Cricetulus griseus: one gene and its partners. The protein of the gene in region 3 purifies or fractionates together with the protein of the main gene of each other region. This does not show direct contact. Links are inferred from orthologs where the notes say so. Each region holds a gene or a part of one and is shown on either strand. Other genes may lie near its edges.

Evidence for each region.
Region 1: the proteins of Dnajb11 (region 3) and Sdf2l1 purify together in Homo sapiens (affinity purification with mass spectrometry; 3 studies listed by BioGRID and IntAct, counting the BioPlex papers as one, with this or other methods). This does not show direct contact. The link is inferred for Cricetulus griseus from reciprocal best matches to the Homo sapiens genes DNAJB11 and SDF2L1.
Region 2: the proteins of Dnajb11 (region 3) and Dnajc3 purify together in Homo sapiens (affinity purification with mass spectrometry; 3 studies listed by BioGRID and IntAct, with this or other methods). This does not show direct contact. The link is inferred for Cricetulus griseus from reciprocal best matches to the Homo sapiens genes DNAJB11 and DNAJC3.

The regions. Positions count from the first base shown.
Region 1 is NC_048597.1:72,189,746-72,196,629, forward strand, and holds Sdf2l1 (stromal cell-derived factor 2-like protein 1), read left to right. Parts: upstream 1-2,967; 5' UTR 2,968-3,022; coding exon 3,023-3,206; intron 3,207-3,514; coding exon 3,515-3,711; intron 3,712-4,910; coding exon 4,911-5,192; 3' UTR 5,193-5,328; downstream 5,329-6,884.
Region 2 is NW_023276807.1:268,948,343-268,955,222, forward strand, and holds the start of Dnajc3 (dnaJ homolog subfamily C member 3), read left to right. Parts: upstream 1-2,963; 5' UTR 2,964-3,087; coding exon 3,088-3,169; intron 3,170-6,880. UniProt on the Homo sapiens protein: Involved in the unfolded protein response (UPR) during endoplasmic reticulum (ER) stress.
Region 3 is NC_048597.1:65,996,040-66,002,923, forward strand, and holds the start of Dnajb11 (dnaJ homolog subfamily B member 11), read right to left. Parts: upstream 4,518-6,884; 5' UTR 4,335-4,517; coding exon 4,267-4,334; intron 1-4,266. UniProt on the Homo sapiens protein: As a co-chaperone for HSPA5 it is required for proper folding, trafficking or degradation of proteins.

The sequences.
Region 1 (6,884 bases), about 6.2 Mb from region 3:
CTCTGAGACCAGGCTGGCCTCGAACTCACAGAGATCCACCTGCCTCTGCCTCCCGAGTGCTGGGATTAAAGGTGTGCACCACCAACGCCCAGCGATGGTGCATGCTTTTAATTCTAGCACTTGGGAGGTAGAGGCAAGCAGATTTCTGGGACTTTGTGGCTAGCCTGGTCTACATAGAGAGTTCCAGGGCGGCCAGGGATATATATAATGATATCCTGTTTTGAAGAAAAACAACAACAACAACAACAAAAAACCCAAGAAAGCTGAGTCCAGTCCTAGTGGTACACATCTTTAATCCCAGCACTCAGGAGACAAAGGCAGACAGATCTCTGGGTTCAAGGCCAGCCTGGTCTATAGAGCAATACAGTGCAAGTTCTAGGACAGCTAGGGCTACATAGAGAAACCCTGTCTAAAAAAATGAATAAATAAACAGAAAGTTGAGCACAAGGAGAAGAAAGCAATCGGTGAGCAGTGTTCCTCGGTGGTCTCTGGAGGCGGCAGCTGCTGGCACATTCTGTGCAAGCCTGCAGTGTTTTGTAGATTATTCTCCTCAGACATGCAGATTATTCTTCTCAGCCTCTGATATTTACATGTTAATTTTGGTTAGGGGTTTGACAAAATGACTCCATTTTGATTCTAGCAGTTTTGACACAGCCTGCTTAGAAACCTGCTACTTCTGTCTGTCATGGAGCTTATGTCCTTGCCATCTTTGACTCTAAGTGCAATGGAGAAAACCATGTCTTTCTTTTCTTTTGAGTCAGGGACTCAAAGATAGCCTTGGACTCTTTTTTGTTGTTGTTGTTTGTTTTTTGTTTTTTGTTTTTCGAGACAGGGCTTCTCTGTGTAGCTTTAGAGCCTATCCTGGCACTCGATCTGGAGACCAGGCTGGCCTCGAACTCACAGAGATCTGCCTGCCACTGCCTCCCAAGTGCTGGGATTAAAGGCATGTGCCACCAAGGCCTGGCACTTTGGACTCTTTTTTGTTTGTTTGTTTGTTTGTTTGTTTGTTTGAGACAGGGTTTCTCTGTGGCTTTGGAGGCTGCCCTGGAACTAGCTCCTGTAGACCAGGCTGGTCTCGAACTCTCAGTAATACATCTGTCTCAGCCTCCCAAGTGCTGGGATTAAAGGCGTGCGCCACCACCACCTGGCCAGGAATCAGATTTCTAAATTTCAGGTTTTCATATTTTTATTACATTTATTTATTTGTGTGTGTGTGTGTGTGTGTGAATGCCAACCTTCCAAGTTTGTCTTGAGCAATTGATCATTGGTGTTTCCCTTTTTATTTTCTTTTTCAAAACAGAATTTCTCTGAGTAGTCCTGGCTGTCCTGGAACTCACTCTGTAGACCAAGCTGGCCCCAAACTCAGAGATAGAGATGCCTACCTCTGCCTCCTGAGGGCTGGGATTAAAGGTGTGTGCCACCACCACTTGGCATTTAGTGCTGCCTTTTATTGAGCCTTGGAAACTTGAAGGAGGAGTAGTTTAAGGGAAAAGACAATTCTGCCTTAGACATGCTAAATTTCAGATCTCTATTGACATTTCCAATAAGACATTTTCAGTGCATCTTGGATGCTGGACCTAGATCATTTAAGGGCATGATCTTCCAAGTGCAGAATAAGGTGCCTTATCCCATGTGTAATCCAAAATATAATAACCCTGAAATGTGAAAACTCCACATTGAGTTGTAGATGTAGCTCATCAGTAGGTCTTTTGTTTACCCTAGGTTAGGCCTTAAGTTCAATTCACAAAATTACACACAAAACCTGAATTACCAGGTTGCTGTCATTAATGACTTCTCTATTTTCTGAGTGCAAAATTCTGGATAATTGAATTCAATATGAGTTTTTTCAATCTTTGAAAAATGGTCTCTTGACATGTGAAGCAAGCTTGTTACTAATTTGAACTAATAAAAAAATAAGGAAAAAAACTTGAAAAAAAAAGAAAAAAGAAAAATGGTCTCACATGTAGCCTTGGGTGGCTTGGAACTTTCTATATAGGATATATTGGTCTGAAACTCTGAAACACGAATTAATTTTGTTGTCTGCCTCCTAAGTGTGCTACTACGTATGTCTGGCCTAAAATTTTTTTAATTTTTTTTTGTAAGAGTCTTACGTAGTCCAGGTTGGCCACTAACCTCAATCTTTCTCTTTAACTTCTGGCCTCCACCACTTGAGTGTTGATATGCTAGAGATCAAACCCAAGGTTTTGTGCTAGTTAGACAAGCACTCTACTGAGACACATCTCCGGCCCCTAAATAGAAACTTTAATGAGTATCTAGCTAGTGCTCCAGGTACATACTTCATCAGCCACTTGGTAATATAGCCTGTAAGCAGTTCCTTTGTGGATCCCCAACATAGAAAAAAATTATATATATGAGTGACAGCTACCAGCTGTCTTTTGATGACTCATCCAGCAACCTTGATATTCTGCCACCAAATCACTCAAGTAGCTGCATGGCCAAGGGAATTCAGAAACCCTGGGATCCAGGAGCTGACATGACCCAGTGACAGTTAAACTCCTGGGGTCAGGAGATTTCAGTAAGTGGGATCTGTCCGCTTTGTGACCACAAAATCTAGTGATTCACAAGACTGTGCACATTTACGCCCAGGACTGAAGTCCAGGGGCCCAGTGTCAAAGGGGTTCCTGAACCTACCCCCCCCCCCCAAGGGCTTACGACTGGGGCCAAATGACTACTGGCCACAAACCTCGCTGTGCGCCACTCTGAGGCCTCTCGGAGCTGGTCGCCGCCGCCGCCGCCGCTGCTCTCTGGGCGTTCATTGGCGGGTCCTCGGAAGCGTGGACCAGTTAAAACCCTCCTGGTGTCTTCAGCTCCCCGCCCCCCAGCCACCTCCTTGAAAGCTGGGGGGTGGGACCGCTGCACAACGACCCAATCCTAGTGCAGGAGGAGCGCGCGCGGGCAGGCAATTGGCTGCTATGAGAGGGCGCTGTCAGAGGCGGATTGGCCGGTGTTGAGGACGGAAGCGCTGAGGTCCGGAGCTGCTGGAACCCGGCCGGCCGTCGCGATGCGGGGCGCGAGTCGCGGCGGGGTAGCCGGGGCGCTACTGGTGCTGCTGCTGGTGCTGTCGGTGCGCAGCGGTGACGCGTCCAAGGCCAGCGCCGGGCTCGTCACCTGCGGGTCAGTGCTGAAGCTGCTGAACACCCACCACAAAGTGCGGCTGCACTCACACGACATCAAATACGGATCCGGTGCGCAGGGGTAGTGAGTGACTGGGATGGGCACCGGGGCCGGGCGGAGGCTTAGAGGCCAGGTGGTCCTAGTGGGCTCTGCGGGCTGTCAGGGAGCTGGGTAGTTGCGAGTCTAGACTCGCTTGCAGGGTCGTGAGAGGCAAGCCGCGGGCATTGAGGATGTGGAGGGTCCGGCGGGGGCCTCGACTGGGGTGAGCCCTTGGGATCCTGAATTAGTGGGGGCTGTGGGAGGAACTTGTTAGTGTTCAAGACGAGGATCCCGAGATCTGCAATTGACAGAGACCACGGGGTGGGCTGTCCCTCTCCAGGCAGCGGCCAACAGTCGGTAACCGGCGTGGAGGCGTCCGACGATGCCAATAGTTACTGGCGGATTCGTGGCGGCTCCGAGGACGGGTGCCCGCGCGGGCTCCCAGTGCGTTGTGGGCAGGCAGTGCGGCTCACGCATGTGCTCACCGGCAAGAACCTGCACACGCACCACTTCCCGTCGCCGCTCTCCAACAACCAGGCAAGCCCCGTTCCGAGCCCCGCCGAAACTGAGCGGGCAGGAACCCGAGCGACATCGGGAGGTGTGAGGGAGGGAGCCGACAGGGGACTCAGTCTCAGCTGCAGTGAAATGGGAGTTTTTCTAATCAGAAGTTTATGAAGCCTCCGCTCTGCGTCCTGTCCTCAGGAATTTCTACCCCAGAGTTAGGAGAAGGACTGAGAAGTCAGAGATTGATTAGCTCCTATTTGGACACGAGGGGGACTCACAGCAGATAAGTAGTAGAACATTGAAGAAAGGAGCACCTCGGGCTGGTTCTGAAAGAGAAGTAGGAGCTTTCCCCCAGACCTTTCCCTCTGTGGCATAGCTCCTGCTGAAGCATATGGTCACTGCAGCTGGTGGGGGTGGGGGGCATGAGAAGGAACTGACAGTGCTTTGGGAGAGTTTCTGGGGGGAAATGTTGGCGATAGGGAACATGGCTGTTAGACTGGGAAGAGCTTGGGGGATGTGCCTTCACTAGGTTAGCACAAGAAGCCTTTGGAGACCGTGGTGGAGCACACCTTTAATCCAGCACTCGGGAGGCAGAGATAGGCAGATCTCTGTGAGTTCGAGGCTAGCCTGGTCTACAAGAGCTAGTTCCAGGACAACCTTCAGCCTCCAAAGCCACAGAGAAACCTTGTCTCCACCCCCCTTCCCCCCAAAAAAGAAACCCATGGAGAGAAGGTCTTAGCTCCAGAGGGCCAGTGGGCACTACAAAGACTGATTGATCTATGTGGTGCATGCCTTTAGTCCCAGCACTCAGGAGATAGAGGTAGGTGGATCTCTGAGTTCTAGGACAGCCTAGTCTATAGAGTGAGTTCCAGAATGGCCAGGGCTACACAGAAAAACCTGTCTTACAAAACAAAACAAAACAAAACAAACAAACAAAAAAGAGGCTCTATGCATCTGAAGAAACCTTCAATAGGATGGGAATTTTTTTTTTTTTTTTTTTTGGTTTGTTTGTATTTTGAGACCATCTTTCTGTATATAGCCCTGGCTATCCTGGAACTTACTATGTAGACCAGGCAGGTCTCAAACATCCAGAGATATGCCTGCCTCTGCCTCCTGAGTGCTGTACTTAAAGGCATGTGCCACCATACCTGGCTAGTGTGGGACTCTTTTTTGATTTTTCGAGACAGGGTGCTCTTCTCTATGTGACTGTCCTCCATACTTTACACTCTCAGGAGGTGAGTGCTTTCGGGGAAGATGGCGAGGGTGACGACCTGGACCTGTGGACAGTACGATGCTCTGGGCAACACTGGGAGCGCGAGGCCAGCGTCCGCTTCCAGCATGTGGGCACCTCTGTGTTCCTGTCGGTCACTGGTGAGCAGTATGGTAACCCAATTCGTGGACAGCATGAGGTGCACGGCATGGCTAGCGCCAATGCTCACAACACATGGAAGGCCATGGAAGGTATCTTCATCAAGCCTGGAGCAGATCTCTCTACAAGTCATGATGAACTCTGAGAACTGGATGGGTGAAGGGAGGGAGGGTGGCTGGGTAGGGATTCTGTAGGGCCACTCTTGTGTGAGACTTTGTTTGTAGAGTCCTCAAGTGCCTTTATGATTAAAAAATGTTGGTTTGTGTTTATATTTGCTGTAACCCCAGGGAAGATCTGGAGGTACCAGCCATGTCTGTCCATGTTGCCATCTCACCTGTCTCTAGGTACCTGTTCAAACTTTTTTTTTTTTTTTTGAGACAGTCTCACTATGTAGCCCTGACTGACCTGGAACTCACAGAGATCCACCTGCCTCTGCCTCCTGAGTGCTGGGATTAAAGGTGTGCACCACCACAACTGACCCCAAACTCTTTTATAAAATCATTCTTTACTAGTGTGAGTGCATGTTCTGTGTGTATGTTGGCACCTGTACATGCGTGCATGTGTGAAGTTTAGAGACCAACTGTTGATAGTTGATTCTCATATCCTACCTTTATATTGGTTCCAGAGATCAAATTCAGGTTGTCAGGATTGTGTAGCACACACTCTAGCTGCTGAGCTGTCTCAGTGGCCCCAAACCTTTATATTTATATTTATATTTATTTATTTATTTATTTATTTATTATGTCTAGTCTTCTGCTCTGCCTGCATGCCAGCAGAGGGCATCAGATCCCACTGTAGATGGTGGTGAGCCACCATGTGGTTGCTGGGAATTGAACTCAGGACCTCTGGAAGAGCAGTCAGTGCTCTTAACCTCTGAGCCATCTCTCTAGCCTTGACCCAAACCTTTTTTGATGCCTGTCGATGCATTGTAAATCTGCTTTGAACAGTCGTCTCTCCTGTCTACTCTACAGCAACCTCATAGCCATGGACCTCAGCTCCCAGTACTTGAACTTATTGTGTGGCCTTGGCCTCAGGGGCCCTGTCAGCTGGGATGGGACTCAAGCTCTCCAGTCCCCTCATTCCTTGCCCTCAGGACCCCACTCTTCTTCTGGTTGTGGCAGTCTTGAGATTTATCTCTGGCTGGGCACACCTCTAATCCCAGCACCCGGGAGGCAGAGGCAGGTGGATCTCTGTGAGTTTGAGGCCAGCCTGGTCGCCAGAGCGAGTTCCAGGACAGCTAGGGCTACACACGAGCTCACACATGCGTACGCTTGTGCTCATACACACAAAGATTTATGTTTGACCAAAGGCCAGTTGAGGGTTCTGCCCTATACTGGAAAGTAAGACCTCAGGCTCCCGTACTCTTGCTGTAAAGGACACTCTTCTTTCCCCAGGGTTCTAAAGAGCGGAAAGAATTAAGGCTGGAGAGATGGCTCAGTGGTTAAGAGCACAGTCTGCCCTTTCAGAGGACCCCCACCTTATGTCTTGTCAGGTGGTTCACAACTTGTAACTCCAGTTCCAAGGGAATTTCTCACGCCTCTCACCTCTCGCACATGTGCACAAACTCATACAGGCACATAATTTTAAAAAAGAGAGTAAATAGAATACCTCAAAAGACATCTCAGGGGAAGACAACTCAAAAAAAAAAAAAAAAAAAGAATAGGAATCTGAGGAGGCACAATCCCGGCAGCCAGAGTACTACAGTTTAAAGGCATGAATAGAGGGCTGGGGAGTTAGTTGGGTTGTGAACAGGTGCTTGTTGAGTGCAGTGGAACAGTTGGTACTTGGTGTGCATGAGGCTATGGGTAGAGTACTTTGCTAGCATGTACAAGGCATA
Region 2 (6,880 bases), on a different chromosome or scaffold from region 3:
ATTCTTTTCAAGGGTAACTGTGTATTGTAGTTCTGATACTACAGGACTGTTAGATGGTTGCTCAATAAGTGTTTAGTCACTGAAGACCCTTGTTATTCTCTGTCTATAACACAATATACTGTCTTAAAAATAATTCCTCTCTCATTAGGGCTTTTTTCAGTTCTTTTTCCTTAAGGCTAGAATCACAAGCAACAGCCAGACATAACACACAGGTTTTTTTTGCTTGTTTTGTTTTTCCTGTGCCTCATTTGTGTGGTGTCTTCACTTGAGGACAATGAGATCATCTCCAGCCTTCTTACTCTACCTTGTGAGACCCGTGAGCATCTCAGACAGACAAACCTCAACAGAACCTTCAGGTTTCTTCACTGTTGGCACTTGCTAAGCCAGGGCAGCATCTGCAGAGCACTCACAGGAACTTTTACCTGCTGCACAAAACCTCTGAAACCTCAATCCACTCAATTTGCAGGTGAGGATAACACATAATAGCTGATCCCTGAATCTAAGCCTGTGCTTCCCACCACTGCCTTCCCCGCAGCTCCCGAGGGGCTCATCTCTTCCAAAGAGGAACCATTTCCTTTACATTCTGTTTCTTTGGAACAGAAAGAAAACTTTATTTTTTTTCCATCCTTTACAGTGTATCTTCAGGAGATCACAAATTTGTTAGGTCCCAAATCCTGGGACAAATGACTAAGGTGCCTATTTAACACATCAGAGAACCTAGAGCCAGGTTCTCCCAGCATCCCTCAGTCCCTACTTGTTACAGGGTACGGCTCGGCATATCCTTCCCTCTACCCTGAACTCTGCAGTCCAGGGGTTGGGCTGCCCCTCCCCAGAGGCTCTTCCCTATATAATCCAGCCAATCTGGTTACGTTTTGCCCTCTTGGCTGCTGTACCTGGTTCCCCTCTCATGGCTCAGTCTGCTCATGTCCACTCTGGGCTCTCCCAGATATGTCTGCCTCTGGCTATGCTCTCCCTTTCACCTACAACACACTTTGTCCTCCACCGTACCTCAGAGCAGCCATGTCCTTCATCTTTCTTTCTTTCTTTTTTTTTTTTTTATTCAAAATTCACCCTAACTCAGGAGTTCTTCTAAAGCACGAAGTGACACTGATGTATGCATTGGACGATAAACCCACGTTGTTTGTAAAAACTGCTGGTCTATAGAGCGCGTTCAAAACAGAAGAAACAGCCATGATCAAAGCCTAACTGAATAATTTGAACTGCTTCTTGTTCAAGTTCCTTTCTGTTCGAATGAAAGCGGTAAAGAAACCCGAACAGCAGCTCCCGTGGGTGACAAAAGGGGACAAGTTTACTCCAAACTGCCAAGGCAGAGAGCAGACACTGAAGACGGAGCAAGAGATGCGCCATGGTTCTGTGCATCACACTAATACATAATTGGCTCAGGGCAGGTCATAGGCTGCAGACTTGGAAGCCTTGGGCAGCGGGACAACCCACCCACCCCTGTAAAAACAGAGCGGCCCTGAAAGCTTCTTTGGAGAGACCGGAAAGGCCGCGCCAGCCAGGGGCTTTAAGAGTGTGCCCAGGCCAAGGTGAGACTCGGTGGAGTGACTCCAGAGTGTCAGGTCGCGGGCATCTAGTCAGCAGCCAGCATCCCCAGGGAGCCCCAGGCACTTCCAGCTTGCTAAGAGGAACCAATGACCCCGGAGTCTGTTAGCACCTCAGGGTCCTAGCTGGCTTCCCTCAGCCCCTACTCACCAGTCCTCACCCCAGCTCACAGCTCCCTTCCCTAACCCAGGGTTCACATACCCACCCCCTCCCTCCCTCCTCCAGCCCCCTCCCCAGCTCTCCTCCCTCCTCGAGCCCTCCCTCCTCCCAGCTCTCTCCCTCCCCCAGCCCCCCTCCTTCTCCCCAGCTCTCCCTCCTCCTCTCAGCTCTTCTCCTCCCCCAGCCTCCCTCCCCTTCCTCCTCCTTCCCACTCTCTCCCTCCCTCCTCCAGCTCTCTCTCCCTCCCCTTCTCCCCAGCTCTCCTCCCTCCTCCAGCTCTCTCTCCCCCTTCCTCCTCCCCAGCTCTCTCCCTCCCCAGCTCTTCCTCTCCTCCCAGCTCTCCCTCCCCCTTCCTCCTCCTCCTCCCCAGCTCTCCCCCTCCTCCCCAGCTCTCCTCCTCCTTCCCAGCTCTCCCCTCCTCCTCCCCAGCTCCCCCTCCCTCCTTCTCCCCAGTTCTCTCCCTCCCTCCTCCAACTCTCCCTCCCCCAGTTCCTCCCCCTTCCTCCTCCTAACCCTCCTCCTCCCAGCTCTCCCCCTCGCTCCTCCTCCCCAGCTCTCCCCTCGCTCCCTCCTCCCCAGCTCTCCCCCTCCTTCCCCCAGCTCTCCCTCCCCCAGTCCTCCCCTTCTCCTCCCCAGCTCTCCTCCCTCCTCCAGCTCTCCCCTCGCTCCCCCCTCCTCCCCAGCTCTCCCCCTTGCTCCCCCTCCTCCCCAGCTCTCCTCCTCGCTCCCCGCTCCCCGCTCGCCCCGAGCAGCCTTGGCAGTCCGCGGGCTCCTTCCCCGGCGCCGGCAGGGCAGCAGCGCATGGCGGAAGCCCGGGCACTTCCCGGGCCGCACCGGGGCTTGCTGGCTCTCGGCGCCCCGGCTGCGCATGCGGACTGGGGGGGGGTGCCCCCCGCCCCGCCCCGTCCTCTCCGCCCCGTCCTCCCGGCCCGGCCTCGGCGGCGGTTTGGAGCCCGCTGACAGCTCCACGACCTGCGGACGCCGCCGCGCCGTGTGCTTCCACGTTACCCTATCGGCGGTGGGGCGGGGCGGCGGCCGGCGCGGCCAATCAGCGCCGACCACGACCCCGTCGAGCCGGGCCGCTCCCAGGCCGGGAGGAAGGCGATTGGGCGGCGGCGGCGCTCGGGGCGTGGCGTCCCCGGCCCGCCCCCGCCGCCCGCCGCCGTTTTCCGCCTCTGGGCGCCCTCGCCGCCGCCGCCGAGGCCCGAGCGAGCGAACGAGCGAACGAGCGAGCGGACGCTGGCTGCGGGCTGCGGGCTCCTGGCTGCTGGCTGTGCGCCGCGCGGGCGAGCGGGCGAGCGGGTGGGCGCTGGGCTGCTGGGCCGCGCTCCTTCCTGCTCCTCCGCCCCGGCGCCCTTGGACATGGTGGCCCCCGGCTCGCTGGGCAGCCGGCTGGGCGCGGTGTTCCCGTTCCTGCTGGTCCTGGTGGACCTGCAGTACGAAGGTGAGCAGCCTCGGGGCCCCTGACCCTGCCTGCCCGGGCCCCGGGGCCAGCGGCGCTCCGGGGCGCGAGGCTGGCCCAAGCGGCGGAGGCCCTGCGCGGGCCGGGGACACGGCGGGCGAGCGGGCGGGCGAGCCGGGGACACCGCGGGAAGGCGGGCGAGCAGGCCGGGATGGAGGCCTGGGGCGCAGCCTGGAGCCCGGCGCCCGCAGCAGGGGTAACGGCGGCTCGCACGGGCCGGCCCGGGAGCGGGAGCCCCCGGGAATCGAACCCCGGCCCTGACCACTCTATCCCGCGTCCGGTGCGCAACTCAGCCCGGTGCCCGGAGAAGCCCGCGCGGGGCTGGCAGCGCCCTCCCGGCTCCCGAGTCGCGGGCTCCGGGTCTTTGGTCCACGGTTCCCAGCATGGCGTCATTCAACTTTTCCTTTTTTTTTCCGGGGCTACTTTTTCTAGTCCCCGGGGGCGGGGTGGGTTTGGGGTTGGGGTCGGGGAGGGGGGAGTCTCCTTGGAAAGGTGGGGAGCGCTTGCGTTTCACCCCGGCCTGCAGACTGGAATGCGGGCTACTCCCAACAGAATAGCAAAACAAGAGGCCTGTCCCAGCCTGGGTGTGAGAGGGCGAGCGGGCGAGCGGGGAGGGCTGGGGCATTGAAGCCCCAAATGCCCGTGGAGCAGCGAGCGCTTCCCAGCTTGGTTACTGCGCTGCTGTGACAGAGCTGTGTGTCCTGGGCACCGACCTGCACTCACTCCGGAGAGGGGGTTGGTGTGTGGGGGTAGTTGTCAAGGAAAGTAAACAGTTGACTGTTCCATGGCTGGGGGTGGGGTGCGGTGGGGATTGAGGAACCGAAATTGGGAATAATTCTTGGCGAAATCCTCACAAAGGTGTATGTGGGTTTCCTTTCTTTGTTAAAAGTCTTATTATCCAGTTTTGACATCTCAGTTAAAGGTAGGAGTTTTGTTTTTGACTTCCTGATAGCCGTATGTTCTTTGGCCCTCACATCAGATTTCGTGCTGTGACAGTACTGAGACATTGGAACCAGCCTCAGATTGCGGGGGGGGGGGGGGGGTTGGAATTTGAAGGCCTGGGCCACTTTAATATATAGGCCATACGGTATAGTTTTTTAATTTTCTAATTCTTTTCATCCGCATCAGTCATGCTCAGGTATCATAAATGGCTTATTTTGCACGAAAGCTGTCTGTTATGTTTAGGATCTTTTTTTTTTTTTTTTCAGGTATAGAAGTGCTTTACTTTTCCCAGTAGTTTGTTCATTTCCCTACTGTGGTATTTCTGTAAAAAAAAAAAAATAAGGGAAAAACTTTGAGTTTTTCTGTCTGGGACATGCTAATGGCACCTCTCAGGGGGGCAGCCAGAGTGTTGGCTTCTCAGGTGCAATACCTGTGTAAAATAGCAGGTGATTGAGAGGCAAAGAGCCTGTTTGGAAGCCATCTCTTATTGCATGGAGATACGTGATACTCTGTTTTACACACGTGGGAACTGGTGTTCTAAGAGCTTAATGAAAATTTATCTTGGGACTGGAGCAATGGTTAGAGTGCTTGCTGGACTTGCAAAGACTGGATTTGGGTTCCCAGCACCAGATCTGGCTACTCAATGCTGTAATTCCAACTCCAGGAGTCCTTTTCTGGTTCTGTAGGCACCTGGACACACACACACACACACACACACACACACACACACACACACACACACACACAGAGAGAGAGAGAGAGAGAGAGAGAGAGAGAGAGAGAGAGAGAGAGAGAGAAAATAAAATCTTTAAAAATAAACTTTACCTTCTGTATGAACTGGTCTATACCATTTTCAAGCATTTCTAAGTGTGGCAGCTGAGAAAAATAAGCATTTTACTTTACACAGGAAGGTGATTTCCTACAGGTTCAGTATGGTGGTTCTTCCCAGCTGTGCAGGCTCATATTTGTGGTCTCAGCACTCAAGGCTGAGGCTGGAGGATTGTCATGAGTTTAAGACCAGCCTGAGTTATATCATGAGTTTTAGGCCAATCTGAACTATAGTGTGATGCTTTGTCTTAAAAAAAAAAAAAAAAATGCTTTCTCTCCCCAAACAGCGGTCCTTTAGCCAGCTGTCTATCAGAATCTCATGGGGGGACTTTGTTTTAAGAGTTCTAGGCCCACTTACAGAACATCTCATGTAGTAGGTCTTGGTGGAACCTGAAAATGTGCATTTCTAAAATGATTCCAGATGACGACACTGTGAGAACCATTGGTGTAATCAATTATATGTAGGAATTAAATTAGGGGCTTGCTATTGATTAGATCCTAGATTTGGTGATGGAGTTATCAAGACAAAGTAGCAAAGTTTATTAGCTTGCATTTTCTTGAGTAAGTTAGTTCTCTCTGAGCTCATTAACCTCAGTTTTGGGGGTGGTGTGCAGGTCAGGTGGTACCGTACTTCACTTGAGGCATGGTAAGCAGAGTAACATGAAAACAGGGTCTGTGGAGCAGTTTCATATCATGGAAAATATTGTTAATGTTTAGCCTAACTGGTTTTTGTTTTTTTCTTCTCAATTAAAAACACCCTTGCAAACTAGGCTTTTCTGTTGTAATCCATAGAAGGAAAGCACTTATCATGAATTGAAAGACTGACTCTTAGCATTGTCTTTCTCAGAGCCTTTGAAAAAAATCTAAAGCATTAAAAAGCAGAATTTTTGAGTAGGAGGAAAATTGTAGGGACTGTAGAGATGGCTCAGTGGGTTAAGAGTACTAGCTGCCCTCTTGGAGGGTGGGACTCCGGCTCCGATATCACAGCTTTATCCAACTGGAGGAATGGAGCAAGTGTCCGTCTTACATACAGAGACACAAATAAAAGAAAAAGAGAACGTTAGTATCCACTTGAGCATTCTCACATTGCAAATAAGATTACTTCAGTTTGTTGCTAATGGCTTATTGGGTGACTTGAGTGTGAATACTGGCTGAAAAACATTTTATGTTGCGTAGTTTTATCTTTTTTTTCTTGACATATATATCAGGAACCCATTTTTAAATTCTACTGTATTGAGATGATTAATCCATATATTTTAGCCATCAGGGGAAGACTTGAAAATCTGTTCAAACAAAGTGTTGTGATATATTTTACTTAAACTGATAAATTAAGAGTATATTACCTTTTGTAGGATTTTTTGATGCTAGTTAAATAGGAAGAGAACTTTTTAAATGAATGATTTTAAGACTGTGTATAATCAGATGTTCAGATAGCTCCCTAGACTTATCTTGAATTACTTAGCAGGCTAGATGATAAAGTCGGGAGTGTTTCAGTTCATCTAGTCAGCCAGCATTGCTGAGAAGGTGCCTGGAGCTGCAGTGGCTTCCGACCTGTTTGGTGGGCTTGTGCTGAGATGAGAAGCCCTGGAGCAAGCAGGTTGTATTTGTGAAGTTAATTGTGGTTAGGTTTCCTTTCTGTTGTCCTGACCTTTTAATTAATTGATTGGCTGATTGATTTTTGAGTGTGGGTGTTTTATTTTGATTTGTTTTTGTTGGTCTTGCTCTGTAACCCAGACTGGCCTGGATGGACTCTGAAATTTGATATGTGGAACAGGATGGGCCCAACCTGTGATCTCTCACCTCTCTGTCTTCCCAGTGTTGGGATAAAAGCCCACCCACCACACCTGCCTTCCTGAGGTAGTAATCAGCAACTTTACTTTGTTTACATAGAAACATCCCAGGGAAACCCCTGCCCTTCAGAAC
Region 3 (6,884 bases):
CCCTGGATCTGGTGTCACAGGTGGGTGTGAGCCCCCACATGGGCACTGAAGTCCTCTGCAAGAGCAGCAAGTGCCCTTAACTCCAGCCCCAGCCCAGTGACTTCTCACTGTTTCCAAAGGTCAAATAATTTCAAGAGTTATCTTTATTCACAAAGATTATGTCACATAAAAGTTCCAACAGTAGCACTTTGGGAACATTTAAAGATGGACTGACTTAAGGAATTAAAATAGAGGTTAAGCAAAGTCTACATAATAACTCTGAAGGAAGAACAGCATTCATTCATATGTAAGGATTATAGTGTATTTTGATGGAAAAATATATTTCATAATTCATTGCCAGTAACTACACTAATTTGCTGAAATCAAGTCTTTATGATAGGCAGGCTTTATAGTTCACATGCAGGAGCCTCTATATCCTGGTGGTTGAGAATATGCTTATGATAGAAACCAGGACATAACAGAGAACATTGCCAAGGACTATGAGGGGATCAGTTATAAAAGGGTTCTCTTCAGGAAGTGTTAATGGAAAGCTAGAGTAAGACTATAAAAGACATTCCAGAGAAAGGCCATTTCCAGCTCATTGGAGACCAGTAAATTCTCCTGAATGAGCCAAGCACATATGAACACTCACAGCATCTATTCTTGTTGCCAGAATTTTAGCAACCAGAATTTATTCTGGAAACATTATCCCAATAATGGGGCTAGGAAGTCACATAATAGACACTAACATAGTATGGATGGTAGTCTTACAATGTATGGGGAAAATGAACTGGGGAACCAAGACACAAGACAGAATACTTTTTTTAAAAAATGTATTTTATGGCCTGTCATGTGGCTCAGTCAGTAGAGTGCTTGCCTCTAACTCAAGATGGCATACACCTATAGCCCAGGCATTCAGAAGGCTACGATTAGTTTATACTGTAAGTCACACTGTTTAAAAAGTAATTTAGTTATTTTAATCATTTTGTCAGGGTTTGGGGTTGGTTTTATAGGCAGGGTTTCATATAGCCTTGAATTCCTGACCTTCTTGCCTCTACCTCATAAATGTCAAGTTTACAGGAGTATATGAACCATGTCCTACTCAACTATATAATTTTGAGAAAAGGTTTCCCTGTAGTTCTGGCTGTCCTGGAACTCACTCTGTAGAGTAGGCAGGACTCAAATTCACAGAGAACTGTCTGACTCTGACTCCCAAGTGCTGGGGATAAAGGTGTGTGACATCATGCTCAGCTCAACTTCATCATTTTTAAAACTTATCACTCACAGGAAGTCCCTACCTAATCTGTAAAGTCTTGACATCTCATGGGAAAGGAACCAGCTGTTTAATAATGAAAATGCTAACTATGAAGTGAGGCTTACTTAATGCTTATGGAGAGGGGTGAATTAAACAAAACTAAGGATAAGAAAAAAAAAACATGAAAAGCCACTACTTTGTTAACTAACTCAAAAAATATATAAAGTGGCCCCCAACATATCTTACAGTTGTATTACTCTGACAGAGGAGCTGAATTCCATTTTCAGCACCCATGATGGGTGGATTTACACCCACCTTTAACTCCAGCTTCAGGGAATTCAACACTCTTTTCTTTCTTCCACAGGCACCTGCACTTACATGTTCATGCCCGCACACAGACACACATGTACATGTACTTAAAAAATAAAATCTTAGAGACAGACAGACAGACAGACAGACAGACAGACAGACAGACAGACACACAAACACAGAGAGACCGGGGATTCTGAACATAGGTACCCTGTATGAGTGGATGTTTCCCTTAGAAGACATAGATTATGAAGTGAAAATCTCAGTGCCAGGTGTGGGAAAACTCCCTATGAGAGTTATAAGTCAGGGAGGCCCCCAGACAAGAAGCTTCACCATTGCCCATCATAACGGAAGCCCCATTGCTGATGACACACATTTTGGTTACCGGACACAGAGAAATCAAACTGAGTTGACATACAAAATTCCCGCCTTCTGGCCAGCTTTCACAGTGTCAGAAGGTTACGTAGGTTGTGTGAGGAGGAAAATTACTAATATTGACCAAAAAAGCAAGATAGTCCCACATCTGGTACAATAGTGATGTGAAGATTATGAGGTTAACCCACTGCTTTCTGACTGGACTTGAGGCCTGCTCCACAGAAGGGAATTCCTATCTGGTACTGTAAAGCTGAAAACCCGTGGCTGGCGAGGTCATAGGCCATGGGGGACAGGGAGACCTATTACTGTTGTTTTGCTAAGCAGACATGTGATTTTTAGGTTGTATCTATAATTAATACTATATCATGTAAATATTTAGGTTATATCTATAGATTCACACACTCTCAGCCTTGGTCATAGAGACTTCTTTTTACGGTGGCAGTAAATGTATCAACATAACTGGTCAAAGTGTGGAGAACAGGTAACTGCTGAGTGTTCAATCTTAAACAGAATATCTATTCCAACCTTCCCCCGCCTCTCCCCAAGTCTCCAAAGTTCAGGAACATTGTGGGAGATGGGGCAGAAAGGATGTAAAAGCATGGGAAGGGGAGGAGTGCTGTCAAATTCTGTCTTCTGGATATGGCACTCACGAATATACTCAAGTTATGGCTACCTGAACAAGACCTTTGAAAAGAGCAAGCCAATACCATTAGTCACCACTCCAGCAGCTACATCAACTAACTGGACTCAGTGAGTTACTGGATGTGGGAAGGGGCATGTTGGTGTGTGTGTGTGTGTGTGTGTGTGTGTGTGTGTGCTCGCGCTCGCGTGTGTATCTGCGGGATTTTGGGTAGGTATGATTACACTGTATGTGTATGAAACTGACAGAGAGTAAGTAAAAGACTTTTTAAAGGGGGGAAAAGGCTAAATGACAGCTCAGAAAAAAATGGCCGTCAACATTATGCTCCCCAGAGGCTACTTTATGAGTGACTGAAGTTTAAAGCTAAAGTATTAAAAGCTATTAGTATTTGCCAGGAATGGTCACCCATGTCTGCAATCCTAGCATGTGGGAAGTGGTGGCTGAAGGAGCATGAAGGAGTTCAAGATTGCCCTCAGCTACATATTGAGCTGGAGACCAGAATACCTCAACTTCCAACTCCAAAATTTTATGTTGACGTTTTGTTAAATGCTTTGGGTACTCATGAGCTTAATCAAACTAAGGGGAAACAATAAAGAATATGTAAGAAATGTGAACTTTTAGAAATTTAAAATATTTCACAAGGAAAAAAAATGACAAAATTTAAGCATACATGCAAAGAGTAAAAAACATAAGGAAACAACTTTAAAAGCTATTTGAGGTAATGCAGCAACCTACAGACTGTCAGACTCTGACACCCACTAGTTTTTGGTGTGTTTTTATTTTTGTGGTTACTTATTTATTTGAGATAGGGGATGATGTAGGCTTGGCAAGCCTGAAACTCCCTCTGGAGCTGAAGATGACCTTGAATTCTGATCCACCTGTTTTCATCTGCCAAAAGCTGGGGTGAAGGGTTCCAGCCCTCAAGAACACAAGTCTGATGTACCATATCCTTAGTCATGGGAACTATAAGGTCGTGCATTTTAAATGCTGGGAGATAGATTCTCAAAGTCTGCTCTTTCTCCCTGAAGGGAGGCACAATGCTCCCCTGGTTTCAGAACTTCGGTAAAGTTCCTTCAAACTTGTATGATTCATAAGAGTGGCAAAAGGCTAGAATCCCAGTTTTCTCACCCGTTCGTGAAGTGCTTTTCCTACTTATACCATCCAGCTCAAGGAACCATGGAGAGAGACAGTGAGGCAAGATGACAGTTCAGGCTCGCTAGCCCAAGAAGGTGGAAAGTAGGTTCTCTAAAGGTCTTGTTGCTTCCTCAAGCCAGTTTACTCCCGCGTGAGCTTGGCTTCCTTACCTGCATCTGACTTAAGAGCATCATGGCCCACCCACTTTAGTGTCAGGTCCTCGGAGGCTTGTTGCAAGCTAGGTAACCCACCGTCCCACCCTCCAGTTCAGCAAAGACGTGTCCATAACTTCAACCCCAGCTTGGCACTCACTCCCTTCCTCGGAGTTCCGTGACTCTACTACCGCTCACAGCCACTTAACTCCTTCCAATGCACAAACGTAGCATTTGGCACTGCAACCAACTCCTGCTCTTGTGGGCACTCTGGCTCCGCAGGGCCAGCCCGGCCCTCACTGCCCCTCCGTCCCTCGGCTCGGCAGTGCCGCTCCCTCACTGCCCCCTCCTCGATGCCACCCGCGTCCTTCTCAGCAAAGGCCGCCCCTCGGGCCCCGTGCCGCGCGGAGCCCCTTCCTCACCCGGCCATCACAGCCCCGATGAGGTACAGCAGCAACAGGCAGAAGGTGCTTAGGTTCTGCGGGGCCATGGTGTCGCCTGGTCCCGCACTCTCAGCCTCCCGTGCCGCTGCGTCTGCTGACCAGCCCTTCCGGCCCTGAGAGGCCGCCTCACGCCCGGGTCTCTTGCCGGGCCGCCGAGACAGCTAGCGCGCCCCCTCCTCAGCTGCCACTTTCCGGGAGCCCCAGAGCCGGCGAGCAGCCAGGCATGGGCCAATCGCCGCCGGGGACATCACACGCGGCCGCCACTCCGCAGCCAATCAGCGCGGTACACTTCACCTCCGAGGCGGCTCGGACAGCCAGTCAGACAACGGAACTGCCGCCGCTGCTGCCGGCCAATGGGAAGAGGAAACGTCAGAGGTTCGCGCCGCCCGGAAGTGCCTGCGAATAGGAGAAAATCTCAGGCGGAGGGGAGCGCGCTGCGAGGAAACCCGAGTGGTCCACCAATCGGGAGACTCCTTCCCAGCTCTGACCAATTGCTCGCAAGAGGTCTTAACTCGGTTTTCCAGTCTGGAAACTACGTCGCGTGCGCCCGGGACGCGCGGGATCCCTGAGGTGCAACCCCAGGAGGGTGGGCGATCACTCGGTGTCAGAGTACTTGGGGCGCCTTACCTAAGGATGCGATCTCACAGTACAAATTTAGTACATATAGTCTCGATTTCGTAGAAAAGAGGCCCGGTACCTTATAGAGAAGCCGCCGCGGAGACCGACTTAAGTTCAGATTCGGCTTCCAGCACTTCGCAGCGGTGAGACATCCCCACCCCCACCCCGCTTCCGAACCCGTTTTCGACAAAACTTAAGGCGTGGCGGCGTTCACTGGTAGTGTTGGGAATTTTTAATTGACATGTTTTCTGTAAGTTTTCCAGTAGAGTTGCACATAGTAAGCATGCAATCAATAAAAGCCGTTATTATAGTTCGGAGCAGAGCTTGTTCGTTGGTTCTTTTCTCCAGTTTTGTTAACTACAGAAAGCTAGTTGTTTAGCAAAGCCTCTCCTCTTAGCTTTGCTTCCTACATGAGCTATCTAGATCTTTACCAATGAACGGTATCTTGATTATGTCCAGTACAGCTCCATCTCTGGCCCAAGTCACAATTATCTCTTGCTTGCAAAGGTCTCTTAACGATCTTCTCCCTCCAAACTTTATATATCGATCCATTATTTTAATGTACTCCTACTCTCCACCCCATGATCGTGTGCATGCGTGAGCGCACTAGGGACCTGGAGACCACAGATTAGACTAGGCAGGTGGACTTGGAAGACCAAGGTCCTGTCTCTGTCTCCCCAGCTCTGGGGTTTCAGGCGGTTGTTGCCGCAGTTGCTGCTATGCGTGGAATTCAAGGTCTCCTGTTTATACAGCAAGTAAGTGGCAAGCTTTATGGACTGAACTATCTCCCCAGCGTCCTCGTGATTTTTAAAAAGTATTTCAGATCATGTCACTCTCCTGCTTAAAAGCCTCTAATGGCTTTTCAATGTACTAAAAGTAAAATGTCAACTCTATTGTAACTTACAAAGCTGTCTAGTTTAACAATCAGTATCCTCACCTCTTAAAATGTTCCAGAATAATCAGCTTCCTTCCTCCTTTTAAAAAATTTTCATTGTATATATTCATTGCATACGGCACTTTCTTGCATCAGCAAATTATGTACACGGAGCATATTCCTCCTCTTACCATATACCCTCCTACCTTTTTCTCTCTGTTCTGTTATCCCCTTCGTTTCTCTACAGTTCTGCCTCTACTTTCATGCCATATATATATATACGTATGTAATTTTAAGTACCTATATAAAATCTAGGAACCAAAACGAAAGAAAACATGTATCTGTCTCTCTGAGATTGGCTTAATTCCCTTAAGATGAATATTTCCAGCTGTATCCATTTTCCTGTAGACAGCATAACTGTATTCTTTATGTTGGAAAAAAGATCATTGTGTACATAAACTAAACTAGGTTAGTTCTGTAACTTAGCTATTGTGAATAGTGCTGGAACAAATATGGATGTTTTATCAAAACCTTTTTCTGCATTAATGAAAAAAGGCTTATTTTTCTGTGCATGGGTTCTTTGCCTGCATGTAAGCCAGTGCATGCCCGTTGCTCAAGGAGGCCAAAAGAGGTTGGAGGATCCCCTGGAACTGGAGTTGCAGATGGATGTGAGCAGCCATTTTGGTGCTCGAAATCAAATCCAGGTCTTACAGAAGAACAGTAAATGTTCTTAACCTCTGAGCCATCTCTGCAGCCTGGCTCGAAAGTGTTGTATTGAGAATTTTTACATCGTGTTCATTAGGGAGATATATCTATAATTTTGTTTCTTTGTAGTATCTTTATCTGGTACTAGTAGTAGGGCAAACTGATTTTATTTCTAAAAAGTTATTTTATAGATTACTTTGAGAAATGTTGGTGTTTTTCCTAAAGGTTTGGTAAAATTCTGCAGTGAATCTATCTGGGATCTGGGCTTGGGCTTGTCTTAGCCACTGTTCTATTGCTGTGAAGAGACACCATGACCAAGGCAACTCTTACAAAATAAAGCACTTAATTGGGGCTTGCCAACAGTTTCAGAAGCTTAGTTCATTACCACAATGGCAGAGAT